Linked DNA regions of Drosophila melanogaster. The protein of the gene in region 2 purifies or fractionates together with the protein of the main gene of each other region. This does not show direct contact. Each region holds a gene or a part of one and is shown on either strand. Other genes may lie near its edges. The genes, in order: twi and Mef2.

Region 1 (4,964 bases), about 13 Mb from region 2:
ACAAGTTCGACCCGGAAGCTCAGCGATGGGCGCTGGCAACTGAGCGATGTGGGTATTTTCGGGGCGTTTGTCTTAGCTAACTTTCCGCCCGGGAAAGGAGAAACTTTTTCGGCTGCACTGTTGCACCCACCCACACACACACACCCATACACACTCTTACTCACACACACGAAGATCTATTGTAAAATATGTAAGAAAGTTTCCTTGGCCTGGGTGGGAAAACGCTGCGTTTTCGGGAAAGCAGCAGCAGCATCGACGTTGTCTTTGGGGAAATTAAACATTTTCTATTTGAAAACTTTGCCGTGTGTGGGGGGCGGGGGGTGTAACGGCATTTGAAGCGGTGGATTTTCCAAAGGTTCAAGAGCAACAGTTGCCTTTTGAACTGTTTCGGGTCGGTCACACTTTGGCACTGCGCTGGATTCCCTTTGTTCCACCCAACAATTGCGGAAGTCATAATTTCTCAGCCGGCCAAGTTTCTGGTTTTTTGACAAATTTAGCTGCAAATTGTCGGCAAAACTTTAGTTCCAGCTTAAAACTGGAATGGGTCTCCAGTCCCGTGCCTTCGGATCCAAATGTCAAGCGGCTTGCTGTCATAGGTGTTGCATATTTAATGCGCCGCCGCCGATGGCAACACACGCGGCACAGCAGCGCTGAGGAGCAGCTGCATCCCCAGCACGGCGATTCGGACAAGTGCACCCAGAGTGCATGCAAATATTTTTGTCAACGATTGTTTTGCCGGCTCCCTCGATTCCGAGTGGCGAGCTGTGACTGCGGGGGCGGGCGGGAAAAGTCCGGGAAAAGCGGGTCAGGGAAAAGGGAGCGAGGACGAGGACAGTGGTAACCCATGTTTTTGTTGTTGCCAACGGTTTGAGTAATTGTCGCTGGTGTGAAAATTGGCAACGATGCCATCGAGCTGGAAAAGGATTTACTGGGTTATGTATGAGCCAAAGGCTGATTGAGATGGAGGAGCAGCTGGATCGAGCTGGAAATGGCCATCGATGGACGTCTATGGCGTTAGCGATGTTGCCAAAACTGAAATATTCATTAGGCCAGCAAAAAAAACCAATTGAGGTCATTTGAAAAGTGGCCTTGCTTAGCAAATCTGTTGAATATTATAAAATGGTGAGAAAGGCACTTGCTTTTAACATAATTAATCCTTTTTTTTCAAGCATAACAGTTTAACAAAAGATCATGAATAGTACGCGAATATATCCCATTAACTAAATTAATTAAAGCCTCGTATAAAGCGAGCAAGCTTTCCTGATTTTGCGTAAATAAAATCAATTAAATAGAGCTAAAAAAAGCACACCCAAACAATATTTGACAAAAGAAAACGTAGATCCAGGGGCAAATTGAAAACACGATTCAGCCCGCCGAAAAAACCCAATAAAATGGTAATAAAAAACCCAGCAACCAAAAATGATTTTCACATTGATAAAAATTAAATGCGATTCGGGGCGAAAGCAATGCGATGTGTTGCATCTGCTGGGACATTATCAAATAATTCAGTTGTAATCCATTTTAATCCGCCTGCCTGGCTGCGAAACCGACCCACTTGACATGGCGAATCATCAAAATGTTTGTTTACTTGCCCCATGCCCCATGCCCCTTGCCCCTCGCCAGCTCTCTCCTGCCACTTTCCTCCATGAAAGTATTTATTTCGACATTTTGCTAAACATTGCCCAGATTTAAATCTGCATTCATGTAAAATTGCATAAATACATGCAAATATCGCTTGATGGAAATGTCCAGCTATATTTCAGTCACCCACGTTTTTTTTACTCTGCAGGAATTATTCAAATATTTAAGCGGCTTAGTGTAATGGCTGGTGAGTTTTGTCTCAAATCGGAGGACGGGTACAAAGCCGCTCTAAGCGAAAAGAATCGATGCGGCTGCTTAAATTATACTTTATAATTTGGGCATATATGTGGATTACCCCAATTGGCAATTGAACGTATAATAGTTCGGTTTTATATTCAATCGATTGCGCACAGGGCGTATTTATCATTCAAAATGTTTCAAATGCCAATATGGATTGTAATACATTGTAATACATATTCTTCTTACATTACAAAATAGATTCTTCGAAAGGTAGATAAGAAGAGTATTCCAAAGCTATTCCGTTTAATTAACAAAGAATCCCATAAAAAGAGGAGCACGCCCTTCACGAAAGTCAGTTAAAGAGAATGTTAGCCCCACTAATCCTCCTGCAGATTGTGGCTCTGCCTTGGTTGGCTCTCGGAGATCAGCGGATCATAAACGGAAACACTGTCAACATTAAGGATGCACCGTGGTATGCCTCCATCATAGTCAATTCGAAGCTCAAGTGCGGTGGTGCCATTATCTCGAAGAACTACATCCTGACTGCCGCCAAGTGTGTGGATGGCTACAGCGCCAGGAGCATACAAGTCAGGTTGGGAACCAGCAGCTGCGGCACTAGTGGATCAATTGCTGGAATCTGTAAGGTCAAAGTTCATAGCCAGTACTCCAGCTGGCGCTTTGACAATAACTTGGCTCTCTTGAAAACCTGCGAGCTACTCAACACCACCGATGAAATAAAGCCAATTGAGAGGGCCGACAAAGTGCCGGATGATAATTCTCGAGCCAATGTGACTGGCTGTGGTGGCAGATCAGGCAATTTCCTTGACCTTATCTTAGACTTAGAGGATTAGCAGCGGAATAGAAGAGAAGTGCTTCCAGCTGCCTGTCCAATTGCACGGCACTCAAGTGCGGATCCTTAGCCAAAAACAGTGCGCCGCCGACTGGAAAGTCATACCATTTTACTTACTCAAGGGAATCTCAGACCTGACCATCTGCACCAAGTCGCCGGGCAAGGGAGCCTGCTCCACAGACAGGGGTTCGCCTCTGGTCATCGACAACAAGCTCGTGGGCATCCTCTCCAGAGCGGGCTGCTCCATTAAGCCCGATGTCTATGCAAATATCCTGGGGCACACGAACTGGCTGGACTCGAATACGAAGGATTAATATCTTACTTGCTGTGAATAGTTTAATGATAATATTACCTTGCCTTCTGTAGATCTATATTTGAATTTGTAAAGCACAGAATAAAGAACATTGCACAATGGCTTAAAGTGAGAAAAATTTTAACACACCGTAAAGTAAAACAAATTAATTTGCTATGCTTTGTGCCAATACTATAAAATTTAAACAGCCTGCTATATGCACATTTATTTGGCATCATGCTTCTGCGATCTCTACCAATTTTCCTTGCACTCTTTGTCCTTTCCAAAAGTGACACGGGTGCAGGTGAAGATTCGGAAGAGGACGACGAAAACGACTGCAACCGGACGACTCTTGGTGGTCATCCCGTGAACATAACCACAGCGCCATGGATTGCTTCCATTTCGATCAAACAAAAGGCCAAGTGCGACGGAGCGATATACAAACTGAGTCACATTGTGACAGCCGGGAAATGTGTGGATGGATTCCTGAACAAGGTGATCCGTGTACGAGTGGGTAGCACTACGCGCAGCGATGGAGTCATCGAAGTAGCAGTCTGCAACATTACAGTTCACGAAAAGTTCACCGGCCAGACAGTATTTCACAATGTGGCCATATTAAAGTTGTGCGAACCGCTCGAGGCCTCCAAAACGATCCAGCCAATTCAGTTGGCCAACCAGCTTCCGTCTAATGGGGCAAAGGTCACGGCCAACGGGTGGCCCTCCTTCAGGTGGTGGGCAATGTATTGGAAGAAGTGTCTGGATGATGAAGCCTACAAGCTGCAGAAGGCCGAGGTGAAGCTACTTGGCCCTAGCCAGTGCACAGATCTGTGGGCGCGAAACAATTGGTCCAAAAAGAATTTTACAGATGACTTGTTCTGCACCGAGAAGTTCGCTAAGGAAGCCTGCTCTTTAGCGATGGGATCACCTGTGGTCCACAATGGCAAACTGGTCGGCATTATAACGAAAGGCGGCTGTTCGGAGTATCCAGAAGTCTATATCAATCTTATAAAGTACAAGGACTGGCTGCATAATCATACAAAGTAAACTTAAGCGTTCTCCCAATTAATTGTTAAAAAATACTTTGCCTTCGAGCTATGACTATGTGCAGATTAGTGCAAGTAATACGCAATACTTCCTATTTTGATAGAGCTTCGAAGTAAAGCCATCACTCAATTTGAGGTATGACTTTGCAGATAAGGAGCTCTAGCCTTGAAAACGACTTAACTTTTCCTATAAAAAGAGTCGCACATGCAGCTCTAAAAATCAGTTGTTTATAATGATTTGGAGTGTGTTCTTATTTCTGTTGGCTGCTCTTTTACGGCCGGTTCGTGGTGATCTGGATGCCCAAAGCCGCATCATTGGAGGTTATGATGTGGATATTGAAGATGCCCCGTACCAGGCGGAAGTAATAATAGATGGCACAGCAATATGCAGTGGGGCGATCATCACATCAGACACCATCATCACAGCAGCTTCGTGTGTCCAGTCCTACGGTTCAATTGAAGTACGCGTGGGCACCAGTTCCCGCGATTATGATGGAACTGGATTCCTGCTCGAAGTCTGTGAAATAATTAATCACCCGCAGTACAATTGCTGGCGTTTCGATAACAATCTGGCACTGTTGAAGTTGTGCGATCCGCTCAAGACCTCCGAAGCTATTCAGCCCATCAGCATAGCAGAGGATGAACCGGACGATGGTTCGTGGTGCACTGTCTCCGGCTGGGGATCCACCAGTTGGTGGGGCAGCTGGTGGGACAGGTGCTTCGGCAGTCTGCCGGACTATCTGCAGATGGCATGGGTCAGCGTCTACAATCGGGAGCAGTGCGCCGCGGATCGCGGTGTTTGGTTCGGACTCTGGGACAATGGCATCTCGTACCTTACCCTCTGCACTCATAATGGCGCCGGAGGATGCTCCTACGATACGGGAGCTCCCTTGGTGATAGATGGACAACTCGTGGGCATTCTATCCGAAGGCGGCTGCACCACCAAACCAGATGTCTA
Region 2 (5,030 bases):
TCCTTAAGATTTCACCTCCCTTAATGTCCTTTTGTCTGTGTTTTAACTATCACTCCAGTTATTAAATCGCAACTTACAGTAAACAAGAAAATCTTTTAATATATTTTCTTATTGATTTAAATGCCATATGGTAATGGCTAATCACTAAAATTCTCGCTATTGGAAATATTTTTATTATGTATAAATAGACGCAAAATCATTTCCTATATGGGTTAGAACTATAGATGGCTGGAAAGTAGCCACAGCTTTTATTTGCCTCCCAGATGTGGACTAATCACATACAACGTTCCCAATTTTCCTGCTTTTATAAAAGTCGATTTTTGTAATAAACTCTATTGGGATCAAGTTGGGGTACATGTATCCCTACTTTATTATCTTTTCGCCTACATAACCTGCATAATAGAGCGTGTTTAAGGTAAATAATATCTCGCTTAACGCAACAATAGACAGGGTCTGGGTCACAGGGCTTTGGATCCCACTTGGCTGGCTGGCGGTCCGATTCACAAATTAAGCCCCAACTTCAGCCATACAACTACTTTACCTCTGTCTGAATAGGCAATCATCAATCGAGCAGAAACAATGAATCGTTGGTTGCCGCACACCCTAGGATCCTACGGGTCCTACTCTTTGTCCCTTCCGATTCCTTCCTGTTTGTTTTGTGTACCCGCCAGCAGACGAATTACAGGATATGTTGTATGTTGTATCGCACAAAATTAGGTAACAAATGAAAAAAGGATTTACGCTTTATTTTTTCTGAATCAAGTTCAACATTCTAGTTTACGTTCACATCGGAGCTAAGAAGCTAAACAGCTGTCACAATTCCAAAGTTAATATAACCTATTAAAAATGAAATTAATTTTAATGATAGTTATATCATACTTCGCGTTTCTAAAAGGCGTAACCACAGCCAGTAAGTATGCCCCATCTTTTGTAACAGGGTATCGAGTATATACTTACCTTTTTTTCTACTGCCAAACGCAGGTCAACAAAGTTTTTATTAAGCTGCGTCGAAGGGGAAAACTAATGGTGGGTGGGTGTTTATAGAGAGGATCCAGTGGCAAGGACAAATAAATAAAATACACACAAAAAAAAAACCAGATAGTGGGCAAAGCGGGAGGGGAGAGGTCCTGGCAGGGCAGGGAGATACGGATACAAAGGAAAACGGAAACCAAAGCGATGTTTAGCAGGGGTGTAGTTAATGGGGGTGGTGAAGTGGGGGATAATTAACATTTATGGGAGGTTGCCAGAGCGGGACAACAAGCTCGGCGAGGGAACTAACTGTAACTGTTGCTGATTGATCAAGTGTGTGGGTGAGTGTGCGTGTGTGTGTGTCTGGCTGGGGCACAAACAAAAACCATATGTTTCTCGTTCGACTCCCGCACGCACTCACTCACAAACCGAATTACTCACTCACCCCCACCAGCCCCACACTCTAACCCCCCGCCACCTCTCGCTCACTCTTGCTTTCGTTGTGAGTAGGAACTCAAAGTCAGCGGCTGCGCACTCTCTCCGTCTCTCCCGCTCTCCGATTGCCCGGCAATGTATGTGTGCGATATTCTGTTACACAAAAAGGCAAAAACAAAAGGCACCGTTAGAAGGTGTGCGCGTGTGAGTGAGTTCACCACGAAACGAAAATCCTCACCGCCAGCCTACGTATACGTGTTCGTTGCTGGCTGTGCGTGTGTGTGTTAGTGTGCGACTGCGAGAGAGCCTGGCGCAGTGCAGCTGTGTGCGGGCGTATCTGTGTGTGCGTACTTGGCGTTACGACGTCAACGACGGCATATCCGTCAGTACGTTTGTACGCGTCCGCAGCGCCGCTTCTTCAGTTTTTCGGTTTTCGGGATTTCGAGATTTTGAGATTTCGATTCGATTCGATTTCGGCAGATCAGTTTGCGATCCGTTTGCGAGTTCGATATTTTCATTCCGAGCCAACGATCCAACGATCCGATTCCGCTAGCGATTCACAACAGATAGAGATCCTATATCGAACGCCGCGAGAAATTATGCTGGCCCGCTGCTCTCGCACTACGCGCAATAATTTATTTTTACTCCATATAAACAAATTCAACGTCTATTTCCAAAAATAAATGGCAACAATAATAAAAATAACAACAGCCGTCGGACAATTATAAGTTTTTATTTTTAACTTTTATTTGCGCCAACCGCGGCCGCGACATCCCCGCCCCCGCCTGCCCGGACTTTGTTTATATTTACAAAAAGCTAAAGCACACGACAAACACAACAGCAAACATATCACTGACTGCATTTCGCCCCGATGTTTATCGAACGAGCGGCGTAAACAAAGCCAGAATTCAAACAATAATTCAATTTGCATCTCAATTGCAAAGATTTTCGTGTGTGTGCTCGGAAACATTTGTGCAAACACCTCGCCAGCGACCTGACATCCCCAGAAAAGTTCAAAACTCGTCGGTTTCTATTGAGTAGTGTATTTTTGAGAACATTTTTTCGAGAAAACGGAAGCTCAGCTAAAAAGCGATTCATGTAAGTTTATCTACTGCAATGAGGAATGTTTTTGGTTTGAAAACTAGTTTTTAAAACCAAAGTACCTTTGCGAAATGGGTAGAAAGATTTTCATTCTTGTATTAAGAATAATTTTTCCTGTTTGTGATAACCATTTGACTTATATTTATGAGCGTCATAAAATCCAATTGAATGCCTCATTACATTATAAGTGATTTTCGGTTAGTCATACTTTTGAGACACATTGTTAAATTAATTATAAATTATGAATTATAAAACCTAATTTTGGTTATCATATCCACCTTTGCTCATTGAGCTATTATTCCGCCCAAAGGCTTAGTAATTATTTACAGATCATCGATGGGCTGTAAACCCCTCCTTTCATATGCCGATAGGGCAATTTGATTATATATAATTTACAATTACAAAAACACTGGCAGCCGGCATGTCGGGAACCAAATAAGCAAGTTACCCATGCACACTGACGTCATCGCTGAGCCAAACGTTGGGATTCCGAAGAAAAAAAAAAGAGATATCGGCCGGGTTTTCGAATTGTGCCTCGCTGTCTTGATTCCAGTTCAAACAGTTCCCTTTCAATTGATATCATTCGATGTTTCAATTTCTTTTCTTGCGATTTAATGCTGAGAGTAGCTGCCATACACTCGGACGGGCGAACACGCACACACAAATACTATATACGTTCCACTGATAAGCGATTTTCGTATCAATATTGAGGGCCCGCGAGAACCGTACTCCTCCGGCGAAGTTCAAATCCATTTCCCTGCTATCAAGTTCTTTTGCATGTAGTTTTTATGGCCGACCGACCGACCAACCGACTAACTGACTGATTGACTGGCTGGCTGGCTGGCTGGCTGATTGGCGAATTTGCTGATAATTGTCTGCACTTTGTTTCAGCCAGCAGCAAATGCACAGAGAATTATATTTTCTCTTATCTCGCCTCAGGCAGCTGGACATGCGTGCAATGCACTTTGACACCTACGCAGGATCATAAGGGGGGTCGCGTGGGAAGGGAGTAGGGGAATTTCGTTTCGATCCAGGGAGCAGTGGGTTCAAATAACAAACAAAGCCATTCGAAGGCGATAATCACCGCAGATTTGCCGTGGACTTAGCCACGGCGATCGCCGATAAACGATTACGGTCATTCGGCATTGCAGAGCCTAGATAACGGGACCCCACCTCCGATCACGTTCACGTTCGGACCATCATCACGACCATCATTAACCTCCGAGATCTTTAACACTATTTGGTGTAGTCACGTTTGGGTCGCGTTTGTATTTTAAGTGTTCCATCAATAGAGAAATTATAATATTATTTATTTATTTTCTTTTTTGTATTTTAAGTGTTCCATCAATAGAGAAATTATAATATTATTTATTTATTTTCTTTATTATTTCATTATTATTTATCTCATTCTATAACAATTTAGTTATTTCCAATACCTAAAGCTTCATAAGTTAAGCGAAAAAATAAATGTTTTAACTGTTTTTTTTTTTTGGATGCCTTTCAATTAGTTTTGAAATTCAAAAATGACACACGATTCTGAAAAACTGCAAGTAAAATAAAGAATACAATCCATGAAGGAAAACCCACAAACGACATCTTATCAGGTCAAAATAATTTGTTGGCAAATTTTCAACGAAAAATAGTTGAGTTACGTTTGTTGTTGGCGTTTTCGGTGCTTGATAAAAAATTCGAAATCAAAATTTGTTTTATTTGCTCGTGTTTTTTTTTTTTTGCGGCCACTATCTGCCATCGAGAGCGAGAGTCTTTCTTATCACACGTGCGCATGTGAAGGTGCCCACGCTCACTGACAAGCCAAATGAAGCACAATCTGGTCGATGTGTTGGTGTAGTTATTAAAAAAATAAATGTTCCTTTGCCATTTGCCGTGTTTGCGGCTCTCGAGTGTCTGTGATAATTATGGTTATTGCCGCCGCGCTCCCCCACATATATTGTATATAAAAATAAAAATAATAATAATTATTATTATTATAACGATTTCTTTCTGTTTGCGCCTGTGTTTTGGTTTAGCTCCCTCCCCCACACTCCGCCCGCTTTTGCGGCTGTGTAGGTGCTGGCGATAAGATAGAAGTGCTCTAGGTGTACTTCTAGGTGACTCGGGGCCCGAGAACTCAAATTTGTTCGACTACCTTAACATGAGACGCGTGTTTCGGGGCGAAAAACAAAAACCTTGGATTCTTTTGCTTTTGCTGGCATTTCTGCAATCGAAATTGTTGATAAACGCGGTGCAGGAAGAGAGCCAGATATCGCGGAGCCAATGCGATTGCTTGCAAAAATATTGGAAATCGAAGTTTGCCGATATTTCACTTGCTTCAAACAGGCACATTTTATCTCAAAAGCATTTATCATTTGCCTTTAGCATTTACCACGAGCGTCGTATTCACAAAGTGTGTGTAAGTTGTGGATAATATTTTATAATATATAAATAATATACTAAAAATAGATGTAAATGTTAATAAGATATGAGGTAGTTTGAATTGAAATGTAGATTTTATGACAAGTTCATTT

The links.
Region 1: the proteins of Mef2 (region 2) and twi purify together in Drosophila melanogaster (affinity purification with western blotting, with the first as the bait; one study listed by BioGRID). This does not show direct contact.

What each region holds. Positions count from the first base shown.
Region 1 is NT_033778.4:22,983,551-22,988,514, reverse strand, and holds the start of twi (twist), read right to left. Parts: upstream 3,142-4,964; 5' UTR 3,024-3,141; exon of another isoform or gene 2,986-3,023; coding exon of another isoform or gene 2,187-2,985; exon of another isoform or gene 1,966-2,186; intron 1-1,965. Other genes in the region: CG32833 (uncharacterized protein), read left to right, coding at 3,201-4,007; CG32834 (uncharacterized protein), read left to right, coding at 4,240-4,964. UniProt on the Drosophila melanogaster protein: Involved in the establishment and dorsoventral patterning of germ layers in the embryo.
Region 2 is NT_033778.4:9,926,372-9,931,401, reverse strand, and holds the start of Mef2 (myocyte enhancer factor 2), read left to right. Parts: upstream 1-1,786; 5' UTR 1,787-2,502; intron 2,503-4,532; 5' UTR 4,533-4,915; intron 4,916-5,030. UniProt on the Drosophila melanogaster protein: Transcription factor that could be a key player in early mesoderm differentiation and may be required for subsequent cell fate specifications within the somatic and visceral/heart mesodermal layers.